Linked DNA regions of Drosophila melanogaster. The protein of the gene in region 2 purifies or fractionates together with the protein of the main gene of each other region. This does not show direct contact. Each region holds a gene or a part of one and is shown on either strand. Other genes may lie near its edges.

Region 1 (5,480 bases), on a different chromosome or scaffold from region 2:
TGCAAGAAAAATCGAGAAAAAGCGTAATTCATGAGATCAGATCGGATCAGAAAAATCAACAGAAAATAAACCTATTTGAAGTAAAATACTTCTAAATACATAGTAAACTAATGTAATAGTTTTTATTAAAATTACACATATATGTATCGATATATATACATGTTTTTTTTTTTTTAATTTTAAAATTATAATTGTAATGCACTATGCGTAAATTGTATTAAATATTAATATCCAAGGCATATTAATAGAAATATATATACATATATAAAACCTGCAAAAAAAAAACATGAACTACCAAGCTAAATGTTTCAATAATATATAGATCTATATGTATGTAAAACCGATATGAAATCTGCCTACAGCCAGACAAAAAAAACCTTAAAGAGAAAGATCAGAAGAGGAACAGAAGAGTATGAGCGGGGAGTGAAAGATGCAAGATTCATCCAAAAGCGAAAAACATTTTTTTCTTAAGTCTACGCAAAACAAAATGAATGAAAAGTAACCCGAAATTAGTTTTTAGAGTATAAGTATAAAAAATGGAAAATATCGCGATAGAAAGAAACAAAAATGGACGCAGATAAGGACGGCAAGCAGAACAAGAGTAATAAAGCAGCGGCAAGAACTCCCTAAAAATAGCAAAGAGCATTGTAAATATTTATATAAATAATTTATGCCTAATTAAAGTTTAAATTAATGAAGAAAACCAGCAAAAAAACATAAAAAACCAGAAGAACCATTTCAGATTTGTATGCAAATTTGTATATGTACGTACTTTCCTTTAATTTTAGCCAATCAGTTTGTAAGATTAAATTTTTTTTTTGCATCTCTATAAAGAATAATGATATGAGGATAATGATTCCGATTTTTTTTTCCGTTTAATGTAACCGTTAGAATTAGCCCATAATGGTCGATATCTAAATGTGTGTGTATATCGATGTGATGTCATCGATTGTCGATAACGATTGGATGCGAGTGTGTGTTAATTTAATTTGATAAAAGATAAAGGAAAGCAAGGAATGTGAAGATAATGAAAGGAGATGCATAGAGAATGAGAGCGAATCTATCTATTATATAATTATGTAAAATGCACATCTTTAAATTATAAATTATACATATTTAAAAGGAAACTATTATTATTATTTTGATTACCATTATCATTATTTTTTATTATCACTTAACGGTTTCGGTTTGATCCACAGCGAAACCAACAACAACCAAGAAACAGAAACAACAAAAAGAGAAACAAAATAAACAAGCGAAATGTTTGATAAAAAAAACCACGAGATGTTTTAATTTATTTGTCTTTAATTCTTCGATTTTATTGAGTTTTTCATAGAGAAAGTTGTCACACTCAAGAACACACACGCAAGCGTATAAAGCTAAACAAATTAATACCTACTAAGTGTTTAAATAGTACTAAACGAATCAAAATATAAATACTTAAAAAGAAAAAAAAACGAAAATAAAAATAAAAACAGCAGCAGAAAAAAACGATGAGACAGTTGAGCAGACGAGAAAAACAAAGCCCATTAAATTATTTGTTGAGTATTTTATTAAAAAATAATTACGATAATAATTAAAAAGTTTAAATTGAACGAATTACGAAAAACAAACTGAATATACATATATGTGTGCATATATACATATATGTATGTATTATATATAAACAAATTATTTAATAGTTATGCTAAAAAATTATTTAAAGTGAACGGATATGAAAAATATTTGTATGCGTGCGAGCACGGAGAGAAGGGCACTCAGAATAGGCCATCGACACCACCCACTCCCTTCCGATACCCGAACATCACCACCAGTTTTCACCATTTTCTGACCCTTAACCCCTTCAACCAGACACACACCAAACACAAGAAAAGGCGAAGAAAGCCGAAAAAAAAACAATGCAAACACGAAATAGGCGGCGACGACAGAGATAAGCGCGAAGAAGATACTAAATCAATAAGTAAACATAAAAATTAATTAATAAATTAATTCCAAAACAAAATGAAAAAAGCTAAAAAAAAAACATCAAGAAAACAAAAGACAAAAGCAAACAAAAAACATGACGAAACATTGAAAATAAAAAAATACTAAAATGATTAACAGAAAACTGTTTTAATGTCAATGGGGGCAGACATAAACTTCTTCAGCAATAGTTATGGACTTAATTGTGGCTCATTACATTCTCGATCCTATGTGAATATATATGTATTTAGTTTTGGGGTATGTGGCGGAAAATGGCTGTTATCTTTTTAAAAGTTGTCACATTTTCCAGCACTATCGTACGCACAAAATACTGAAAAATACAAGAGCGAAGCGATAAATACCGTCGATTAATTCTCAGTACTTTTTCATGGTATTTATGCATACCAATCGATAGGGCAGAGCAAAAGTGGACGTAAAGCTAAGCAAATATTGCTTATTAATAATATTAATATATTAATATATCAGATCTGAAAACATCGAGACAAAACGGAATTCAGAAATGGCTTTCACAATGCAAACCGGGGATCTGAAGAAGCTGAAGTACTTCATCGACTTTGCGCTTGAGAATCCCACCTTCTTGAACATGCCGCAGCTGCAGTTCGTCAAAGATTTCGTGGAGAAGTTTGGTGGCACGGTGCCGCCTGGCCAATTCAACGGTGGCAGCGCCGGAGGGTAAGTTAACCGAACTATTTGACCAATTTTCAAAACAACACGATTGTATGATTTGCTCATCCCGCGGCTTGTTCTTCCAGCAAGTGCCCATTCGGCGGTGTTGCTGGTGCCAAGGCCAACGAGCCGGCCAATGCCCCCGAGGATAGCGAGGACGAAAAGTCCCTCTCCGATCCTGAGTCGGACGTGGAGCTGGACATGGAGGGTGAGTGTGCAAATTTTGCCGAGTCACGTGGTCATTGGGGGTCACAACCCTGGACTTTGATGCGTTGCTGTCGCAGTGCTGGCAGTTGCTTTATCTTATATCCTTTCGACACTGCAAACTTAGCGTTTACCCAAATTCGAATCCTGCAGTATTAATATATGTAATACGCCAATTAAAACTATGTATCTTCTATCCGTATTACTTCCGACGCCTTCAGGTGTGATCGAGGCGGACAGCGACCCCGCCCAACCCATGGGCAACTACAGCAAGAAGGCCACCGAAGAGGAGGTGGAGCAGGCGAGCGAGCTGCGCGCCCAGGCGGCCTCCGCTTACGGCCAGCAGAAGTTCGACGAGGCCATCGCCTTGTACACCAAGGCCATTGAACTGAGCCCGGGTAATGCCCTTTTCCACGCTAAGCGTGGTCAGGCCTTCCTCAAGCTGAAGAAGCCGAATGCCTGCATTCGGGACTGCGACGTGGCGCTGGAACTCAACTCGGATTTGGCGGCTGGCTACAAGTTCAGGGGACGCGCCCGTCGCCTCCTCGGAGATTTTGAGCTGGCTGCCCATGATTTGCGCCAAGCATGCAAGCTGGACTTTGACGAGGAGACAGACGAGTGGCTAAAGGAGGTCACTCCGAATGCCAAGAAAATCGAGCAGCATCGCTTGAAGCAGGAGCGTCGCCAGGCAGAGCGTAAGATCAAGGAACGCCAGCGGGATCAGAGGCGCGCACGTAAGGAGCAGGAAAAGCACAATGCCAGCTCTGGTGGATCATCTGGAGAATTTTCCGGTGGGAATCCTGGTAACGGAAATATGTCTGATATACTGGGCGCCATGTCAGATCCCGAGGTGTCAGCCGCCATTCAGGTTCGTGAATACTACTTTTCTATTTCTAATACAAATGCAGTAATCATATCGTTGTTATTTATTAACTTTCGTAGGACATTTTGTCAAATCCGGGTAACATCACAAAGTACGCGTCGAACCCGAAGATATACAACCTTATCAAGAAGATTGTGCCCGGTGGAGATGTGGGTGCTGCCTTTGGCCAAGCGGGTGAAAAGGCTGGAAAGCCGAGCGAGCCTAAGCCTAAAAAGGACTCCGCCGACTTCGTCGATGACGGTTTGGACTAAGGTTTAGAAATGGGGCAGTAGTAAGACTGAAACATGCGTCGATAAAAAGAAGTTAACAACCAATTACACGAAATCGAGCGAGATTACAAAACAACAAAGAAAGAGAAAGCAACAGAGTGCGGTGAAGAAGATGGACTACACGAAAAACAAAAGGGAAAGCGGCTGCCTTACACATTTTTGCAGCTGAGAAAAAACAAACATTTCCTAAGCTTTAACTTAACCAACACGTAAAAGAACGGGCGACAATGGAGAAAATTCAAATATTCAAAATACTACAAGCAGTCAGAAGAATAAGCAACATTTATTTAAATCGAGAAGAAAGAGATGTTGGAGATGCTGGAGACGCTTCTTCACATATTATTGAAAAGCATACTTGCGGCCATTAAAGTGGCAAATGAAACTATACAAAGGAGCTAGAATATGCTTAAAAACTTATCACATTTGCAGTTCACAGGTAAATCAAAAGATTGTCCTGTGACGAACAAAACATAAATGTTTAGACGTCAAGTCAGATTCAAGGGTGCCGATCGATCTAGTTGAACTAAAGCTCGAGAAACAACCAAAAGAAAATAAAAAATATATATATGTTCAATAATATTAGCCTAAATTACCGAGAACGAAGAAACGGATAAAACTAATCGCATCATTTGGTCAAACAAAATTGTACTGAGTAGGATTTAAATCATATTGTAAGCAAATGCATTTAGCCCCCCAACATGAAAGCAATCGCCCATTCATTCACACACTCATTCACACACTCATTCAACCAGTGATCAATGGAAATAAATAAACGAATCAACAAGAACCCGAATTGCTAATGTCCATATTTTTTGGTAAACGGGTAAAAGGGGAGATACTTTTGCTTTTTTTTCGAGCGGGTTGGACAGATGGAGCCGTAGTCCCTTAAACTATCCGGCGCATCACCTGTGTGGGTTGCTCACTTTGTATGAAGGACATTGGGTACGCATGGTGTATGAAAGCGTCGATTAGACGCTTCAATGGCTGCACCCTGCACCCTGGATCCAGAACCTATCTACCGCACCCCGCCCCATGTCAGCGCGAAATTGGCTAACGGACAGCTTGGCGCACATGTTCGATTATGGCCAAATCGAGCGACCAAGCAGAACCAGCGGCACATGACCTGGGCTCAGCGATGCCAAGACCTGGGTGGTTGTACCTAGAGGTACTTGATTGCTTTTTAAACTCAGCTTGGTACAGCGTACACGACTGATTATTTAGAAGCTATGACAGCTTTCTTTGCTTTGATATTTTTCATATTTATATATAAATTATAAATATATATTTATAAGCAGGTGATATGGTTGAAACATATATCAACGAATATGTCAAATATAATACAGTGAAGTGTCTGCATTATTTTATTGTACCTGCGCCATCACAGGTACGGCTCCTCTTTCCATCGACTGCAGACGTACCGCTTATGTGCATGACTGGGTGTCCGGGGTGGTGGATGTGAATGTGGATGAGTGGCA
Region 2 (8,414 bases):
ATTGATGAGTATCTACAATGAACAACCAGTACTAACAGTAAGACCAATTTGGATAGACGATATTGTTGTATGTTAGAGGTTGGTAGGTCGCATAGAAATAGATCAGAATAACAGTCATGATCAGCGGGGTAATGATGCTCCAGCAGAGCCTCCAGTACAGGCCCACTTTGCGACCCAGCATGAACTCAATGTCCTTGCACAGGCGATCTGTGCCATAAATCCATCCAATGGTGTACAGCTCGGCGATTCCCAGTACCAAAGCAATCATTGAGGCGCCGAAAAAGTCCACAAGAGTCAGCATATACTGACCGCCCTAAAATATACAAAAAAAATAGAGAATATACGCTAAATGTGCAGGTATTTAATACTTACCGGTGTTATATACATTAATCCAATAAAGAAACTGACTACAGCGATGAGCAGCGAGCACTGCCACTGCCCAAAGTTGGGAAACCGATCCCGAATGGCGGTCACCGAGCAGGAGGTCATGGCTATATTCGATCCTATGCCCAACACGAAGAGCATGAGGAAGAACAGCACTGAGAAGATTTGTGGCAGATTCTTGAACTTGGCAATGGCATCGGGATATGAGATGAAGGCCAATCCGGCACCGCCCTTCACAACTGAGCCGATGTCATCGGTTCCGATTTCGTGGGCCAGATGGCCGAGGATACCGAATATCGTGAATCCAGCTAGCAGAGAGGTCATAGTGTCCAGACCCGTTACAATTGCTGCATCCCTGTGTACATTGTGCCCGAACTTGTTGAACGAGGAGTACATGATGATGTTGCCGAAACAAACGGACAAGGAGTAGAAACACTGAGTTACAGCCGCGTACCAAACCTTCGGGTCCAAAATCTTTCCCCATTGCGGCTTTATAAAGTAGTATATACCGTCTATTGATCCCGGCAGAGTTACAGCTCGCACCAGAAGAACACCCATGATGACGTACGGGAAAAGGGCCAGGAAGTAGGATGCCTTTCCCGAACTCTTCACTCCGCGACGAATAATGAAAAACACACAGGACCAGGCGATAAAAAGTCCAATGACCAACTCCCAGTTTGGTAGGCCGATTCCTTCCTCGATATTTGGTTTCTCGTGCAGCACTTCCTTACTACAGTGGACGGATAGAATTTAATCAGCACGAATATCATTTAATATAGACCACCACCGAGTATTAAAAGTTAAACAAAAGCCATTAAAAACTAAACTAATATTTTCATGCGACTATCATTCATTACTGGAAGGAAGTTCACCAAATGACCATCAATATATATGAACTTTTTTATAAATGTTTTTGAAAAGTGATTTCTAGAATTACATTTTAAACCTTGCAAGACAATATTAGTCATATAAATAGTCAATTTGTGAATTTCTTAACAGTACTGTCCCCGACACTTCGAACTTACACAAAGTACCATTCCGAACTGGTGATGACCCGATCGTTTTGTGATTTCATTGTGTAATTTTGCGGGCGCTGATCATTGCTTTCCAGTTGAGACCAATTACTCGCATCGGGGGCTGAGTTAATGCAGTGGATACCCCATTCCGCACGGCATGTGGACCAGGGCAATGGGTTGCGAAATGATTCAATGAAATATCGGCCAATTATCGCTACCAGGGCGGCATAGTAAGTGCTGAGCATGAACACCTGGAAAGCCTGGCCAGCTCCAACACCTTAATCCATTCGATAACAAACGAGTTACGAGAAGAAAGAGTTTAAACACAAATCAAATGGGATAGAAGAGAGTTTTGGGTGCTATGATGGTTGGATGATTGGAAAAAGGAAGCTTAAAACATAAATTGGTTAGTGAGAAGCCGTTGGCAAGTGTTCTCTGTCATAGTTAAGATAAGAAATCAGTAATTTCTTTAGCATAATTTTTAATAACATTACTAACAAAACGGATTATATACTCAAATGTCCTAACGATTAGATTAGTAAATAATGAAAGTGTTACGTCTTGAAAATTAGCTAAAACATTTAAGTGTTAGAACTTCCGTCTATTTCAGGAAATCTTAGTTAATATGAAAATATATTTTCAGTTTATATTTTTGTCGTTCAAATTATTTCTTTTTTAAGATATAGTGCAAGTATTTATACTGAGATCGTGATTATTGAGAGAGTTCAAGAAACGCAGAATTGTATCGTATACGTGTTTAAAATATTTCAAGTTTGGGTCAAGGCCATACATTGTTGTTATTGAGTTATTCAATCTGAAATTGGATGCAGATATTGACGATGGTGATGGCTGTCAATTGAACTGCCAGTGAATGGTATCCACTTTCTGTTTGGCTGTTGCAATCGCATCGGTCTATTGCAGAGCCACTGCACCACAATTGATGGCAATGGGTGCCATAATTGTCGCCAGAGGGATGCGGGCACTCATTCAATTAGTCGGGCAATAAAGCGGACATTCCGCGCCTTTGTCGGCCGGGCCATATACTTGAGTATGCCGTTGTGATTTCGAGTTCCGAGCCGCGATAAGATTACCCACAGTACACAGTCACCCACACATACCCGTAACACCATCGAAAAACATGCCACTGCAACACCACCAACCAATCCACAATGACACAGGCAATCGGAGGGCAACAACCACAGGGAGAGAGAACAAACCACTTACAGAAAATACAACTCCGCGGATGCCACTGGCTGCCGCTGGGGCAAACTATCCATGTCCATGGGACTGGCCAGGGACTGGGAGGTGTTACCCAGACTGGACGCTACGCAGAAGGATTCCCATTCCGGTCGGCACTCAGACCAGGGCAACGGCGACCGGAACGATTCGTACAGATAGCGCAGGGTTATGCCCATTATGGCCACATAGTAGGTGGTCACCATGGATATAGATATCACCTGGCCGATTCCGACACCTATAGATGTGGTCGCGTATTTGGGACACGAGCGGGCGAGTTGATGAACAGAATGACGATGTAGATTCTGCAGTTCGCTATTGTCATACTCTTGTTGATATGGGGTAGTTTAATATTCAAAAAAGAATTTTGATTGAACTAAATAGTTTTTGATCAAATGGTCCGTCAGGTACACATGCAATATTAAATATTTTTTTAAGAAACTGTATTATAATACAGTTATAATACACAAATGTAACTAAATTACAATTCAAAAAGTATATTTAACCAATTTTAAAGGTTGCGTTGTCTTTAAAAAGGTTACTTTAAATAGCTTCTTTTTTTTCTATATCTCAATTTTTAATTAGTCTGAAAAATGTTCTATCCGCACAAGAGTATGACATCTTCGAACTGACTGCAATGAAATCTGGGACGCTTACCTTTCATCGCCGGGCACAAATCGAACACTTTAACCGAGCCCCGACTGGAAAACTGGCCAATTACCATTTCCAGATAGTAAATCGGTTTGCCAATCAGGAACAGGACAATGAGATATGGTATGAGGAAGGCGCCACCGCCATTATCGAGGGCAGTAAAGGGGAATCGCCACACGTTTCCCAGACCCACGGACATGGCGATGCAGGACATCAGAAACTCCACGCCCTTGCCCCAGGTGGCACGCTCCTCTGGCACTTTGGCTGCCTCCTGGTCATCGGAATTATCTCGCAGGGCTGGACTGTTGGTCTATAGAACGATGATTAGTTGGGTTGTGGATTATGTTCGAACCGTTTCACAGAAAGCCTACCGAAATCTCCACTGTGCTGGCCGTACTGCGTCCGTCGTCGCCCACGAAGGCTAGATTTTGGTGGTTCCTTTGCGTCGTATCCATATTGCCAGTGTAAATCTAACTGAAATTATTCGTTCCGTTAGCATCGAGTTGTGGACTAAAACTAAGCTGAATTGTCTTTAGGATGTTCTTTGTTGAAGCTGTATAACTGACAATCAGACTAACCCACTGATCTTGTAGATAAGATATGATGTCACTGTCACGAGCCAGATAAACTTAGATGGTTAATAAGATACAAAGAGAGATTCGCTGCATTGCCCTTTAGATACTGAAATATGGCACTTGTCTGGGCATGATAAGAGATTTAAAAATTTAATGTTCTGGAAAGTTTACAAATTGTAAAAGATATTAAACATTTCTCACCTTTCTCACAGCTTGTGAAAATAATTTTTTCCCATAAAATTATATATATTTTTGAGTGGTTCAAAGATTCTTAGCTAATACCTATTAGTTTCTATTTATTGGAAGTAATCGACCCAGTGTTTAAATTTGCTGAAAAATTACGTTTGTGTATTTATAATGGCTTGAACTATTATGTGAACGAACTGAAGATAAAGTCCTTTATTTACCGAATCACTTAAGCAATTTACACCTTGTTGCATTTACGGCACAAAGTTGTTAATTGGTGTGAGAGATAAAACTGCTAAACCGTGAGTGATATAATGATATATGTGTATAAATTTATATGCATTTGTATGCACACAAAATATAGGTATGGTTGACTTGATGAACCGGTTGACTGTTGGAAAAATATTGACACGTATTGTTTGCATTAATTTTCAATTATAAACTTGCAGTAAGGGAGCACGTTTTTTGATTGAAATTTGGCATGTTAAATAAAATTCATTCTATTGTCTCATACAATTGTCGAAATTGTTAAGTTCTCTAGGGATAGAATGTCAATATAAACTTTACTTCTGATTAAGTAAAAGTAACTAAGAAAATATAACATTTTCAAATTATTAAATAGTTCCGATTATTTTTCAGATTGCACCAGTGCTTGAATATCATTATGGCAAGCAAGTGTAGATATTATAGTTTAAAATATCAGGTTATGGCCACAACGATAAATTACAAGTTATTGCACCATTAAAACAAGCAAAATTGTTACTAAGCCAATGTTTGCATAAAATATACATTGATTATCAAATATCAATTAAATCTTAAAATCAGCTAATTAGTGAAGGGGTCAGAAAACCTTTACTCCTCTATTTTCAATTATTTTTAAAAAAGACTCATGAGAACCTGAAACAAATATGTTTGATTGACGTCTAAATCCGCAATAAAGCATTTGCATTTTTTATTTATGTTGGTCTCATTATAAAACTGGTTTTGAATTCTGCTTAAAAATATTCAGTTCTTAATGGTCGGCGTCGCGACAAAAAAGTGATTTCCCCGCGGCATGAGTCAGACGATCAGAACTCTATTTTTTTTTTCTTTTATTGTTGTTCTTTAAATAAAATGTAGAGAATGGGTAACGTGACGTCATTAATTTCAGAGATCCGTAATTGGTCAGAAGCAGTTTTATCTAGTTACATCTTATAATATGAGTTTTAAGACAAGTTAAAAAGCTTTAAGGAAATGAAGTGCTTACATAAATAGCTAAATATTTCGGTTATTTTCCTCTACTAAAGCTACCAATTCATTTGATGCATTTGTTATTATTTTCCTGCATTGCAAACAGTTTTACACCTACCTATATTCAAATGAATGGTACAATAAAACGCATTCAAATTTGCTCAGTTTGTATCCCAAACACTTCAATCGACTACCGTCAGGGCATTAGCATGCAAAAACGTGTTTTTATATGGGCAACTTGTTGCGCTCAGTACCAAAACAAACGGATGATAACGATCGATAGGCGAACCACTATTTAATATGCACGCATTCAGTGTTATGATTTTGTTACCCACGTTGCGTATACGTCATTCCCGTCATAATTGCCTTAGTAGTAACGGTAGAAAAGGTCAAGTCATACTGAATGTATTGAAATACACAAAGATGTAATGGATTTAAGAAGCAGTACATTAATTAACAATAAAAATATTTTAAAATAATAAAATTTACGTTAATCGCCTATTAATCCATCCGATGGCTTCCTAATTTTAAGCTACGTACATATAAAACTTGTAATCTCAAGGACACGCCTGGTGCAGCTTAATTTGATCTCTGCTTCCTTGAGCTGATTTATGGAGACTTACCCGGTTTATTTTAGCCACTTCTTAAACTCGATATTCTTTGTACACTATGGATAATTACACCTTCACTTCGACTCAATTCACTGTGCGACAATTGGGCTTATGCTGATTTGCAGGTGTTGTTGTTGTCGGTAGTGGTTGTTAATGTTGGCAAGGTACCAGTGCCAGTCGGCTAAAACAGCTTTGAACCGGCTGAAGTTTTGTTGAATTAAAACTCTTTGCCCAAGCCAAGGCTATGAGTTTGAAAAATGTTAAAAGTTATATTGGTTTTAATGTTATTGTTTTGGGGACTGTAGGGTTTAACAGATTGGCATACACGATTTTGGCTATTTTAGAAAAGCTTCCGAACCGAGAGTGTCGCATCCGAGAAACCCGTTATTATTGCAAGAGCCTTTGCCGCGAAACGCGTTTCCCGATCGCGTGAGTCAAATAGCCAAAAAGCCAAGCCGAGCGCCAGCAGCCAACTGAATGAGCCAGGGCAAGGTTTCGATGGTTTTATTGTGAACTTGACTCTAGAGCCGTCGTCGTTCGAGCCATCGTTACTGCCGCCAGTAATATAGGTGAAAGCTCAACCTACAGTTTGATGACGATTGGGTTGGTGTCTATGACGACTGATCTTCGCCAAATTGGTTGGTAACCTAACTAGCTACGGTATGAGTTACTTGAAATATGTAAATAAGAAATTAGGTATATTTGGACTGTTTATAAAAATGATTACTATATTGAGAGCTTAGAGCCATAGTCCTTTATATTTTCAGATTCAGGCACCAAATCGGTATATATACTTTAATTAAGTTTGAACATGGAACATGAACAAGATGTAATATTTTTGGTGAATTAAAATACCGCTAGATCTAAACTTAAATGCTTTAAGCGACGAACTGTAGCCGTCTAACAGCCCTGAGCTATGCACTTACACTTTTCTCATTACGCACACCAAATACACACATAGACCCATTGTTCTTATTTGGGCAGCCGGAGCACGAGGAGCGGGTAGCTAAGCAAAACAACACAAATTGTTATGATAAAAGTTTTTATCAAGTTTCGCTTCGTTTTTGTGTGTCGTCATCATCTTGGTCTTGGTCTTGGAATTGGTCTAGCTCCGCCGTTGATTTCCCCCATAAGATAGGAAAAGCGCCGGAGAGCGAGTGAGTTCTTCGTGGGCTAGCTGGAAAATGCATAAAACAAAAACCCCAGGGCATTTGGTCCGAGTAAGTGGTGTGTGGGGTGGTTTGTCTCATAAAATGTTAACTACTTGCAAAAATACTGCTAACTGGTAAAACTTTAAGCCAAAAATCATTAAGTCTGCACGGAGCATTTTGCCAATGTGCTGAAGACCGAAGCTATGGGCAAGGACAACGTGTTTGGGGGTATGGTCTTGGCTTGTTTTATGCTAGAGAATTGGTTGCATGGCCATTTTGCGGTCCACTCCAAGCCATCGGGGATTTTCTAGACGCCCTTCTCAAATGCAACATTCAGGGTTCATCCTCTATTGCCATTTCAGTGGGTCTCTGCTTGTTGTCATTATGACTGGGACCTTGGGTGTGACAAAACTGGACCGACTGGCCAAACTGTCCACTTCCCAGAGCGTAGCCAAATGGACCTTCCTATGTGTGAGCTCCCTCCATCGCTCCCTGGTACACAACTTTTTGATTGCAATTAAAAACTAAGCAAAACTCTTGGCTAAGAAATTTTTAACTCTTCGGCTTAGTTGCTGATGCGCTTACTGTTGTTGCTCTTTCAAATTAAATGACGGTGGCTGAGACCGAAAAACTTACAGATTGCAATTTTAAACCAACTTTACTTTAAATATTGCAGAGCAGGTAAGGGTTGGTGTCAAAATGAGGTAAAGTTGTACAAAGCCAAGTTGGTGGTATAGCTTAAAAATGACTTTATCCGCATGTACGTTGTAAATAAATACATATAAACAAATTTAGAAGCGAATTTTTGTCATAAGATATTAGTTATTGAATTAAGTCAAAATAAGGGGCGATCGAGCGAGGTAAGTCAAGACTGGAAAAAATTACTACGAACTATGATGAAACATAATATCATTTTATTCAAGCAAATTCAAGTAGATCCATTTAGACGTCCCCTCATTGTGGTCAACGTTTAGTAGAAAAAAAGGAGAACATAAGAAAATGTAGTTCAAAATTTTTGCGCACTTCTGAATGCTTATTCTATGAGTGTGCTGCTTTAACTGTACAACTTTCTTTTACCGGCAGAAGCTGCAGAGTCCAGTATATCCATGTCCTGACCGCCTCAAAGGATCCCTTGGCTTTTGTGGCCAGGCCAGAAATCATTTCAGACCTTGCCCAATCCCTCTCTATCTCCGACTCGACTCCGGCTACTCACATGTTATGTGCACGGTAATCTCCTTTATTACTGCGGCAACTTTTGCGAGAAGCTGGAGAAGGGGAGTTGGGCATAAAACAGGATATCCAGGAGCTATGCCGGAGGACTCTTCGCCGTCCTTGTCGTTTACAACTTTTGCATAACAGGCAATGGGACAAACT

Evidence for each region. Proteins that work in one complex are often made in the same cells at the same time.
Region 1: the proteins of CG15279 (region 2) and HIP-R purify together in Drosophila melanogaster (affinity purification with mass spectrometry, with the first as the bait; one large-scale study listed by BioGRID). This does not show direct contact.

What each region holds. Positions count from the first base shown.
Region 1 is NC_004354.4:3,787,682-3,793,161, forward strand, and holds HIP-R (Hsc/Hsp70-interacting protein related), read left to right. Parts: upstream 1-2,287; 5' UTR 2,288-2,395; exon of another isoform or gene 2,396-2,448; 5' UTR 2,449-2,482; coding exon 2,483-2,655; intron 2,656-2,735; coding exon 2,736-2,857; intron 2,858-3,074; coding exon 3,075-3,721; intron 3,722-3,795; coding exon 3,796-3,987; 3' UTR 3,988-4,796; downstream 4,797-5,480. UniProt on the Drosophila melanogaster protein: One HIP oligomer binds the ATPase domains of at least two Hsc70 molecules dependent on activation of the Hsc70 ATPase by Hsp40. Stabilizes the ADP state of Hsc70 that has a high affinity for substrate protein.
Region 2 is NT_033779.5:14,845,381-14,853,794, forward strand, and holds the start of CG15279 (uncharacterized protein), read right to left. Parts: upstream 6,370-8,414; 5' UTR 5,902-6,369; intron 3,809-5,901; exon of another isoform or gene 3,762-3,808; 5' UTR 3,743-3,761; coding exon 3,659-3,742; intron 3,598-3,658; coding exon 3,294-3,597; intron 2,875-3,293; coding exon of another isoform or gene 2,625-2,874; intron 1,678-2,624; coding exon 1,410-1,677; intron 1,115-1,409; coding exon 373-1,114; intron 314-372; coding exon 37-313; intron 1-36.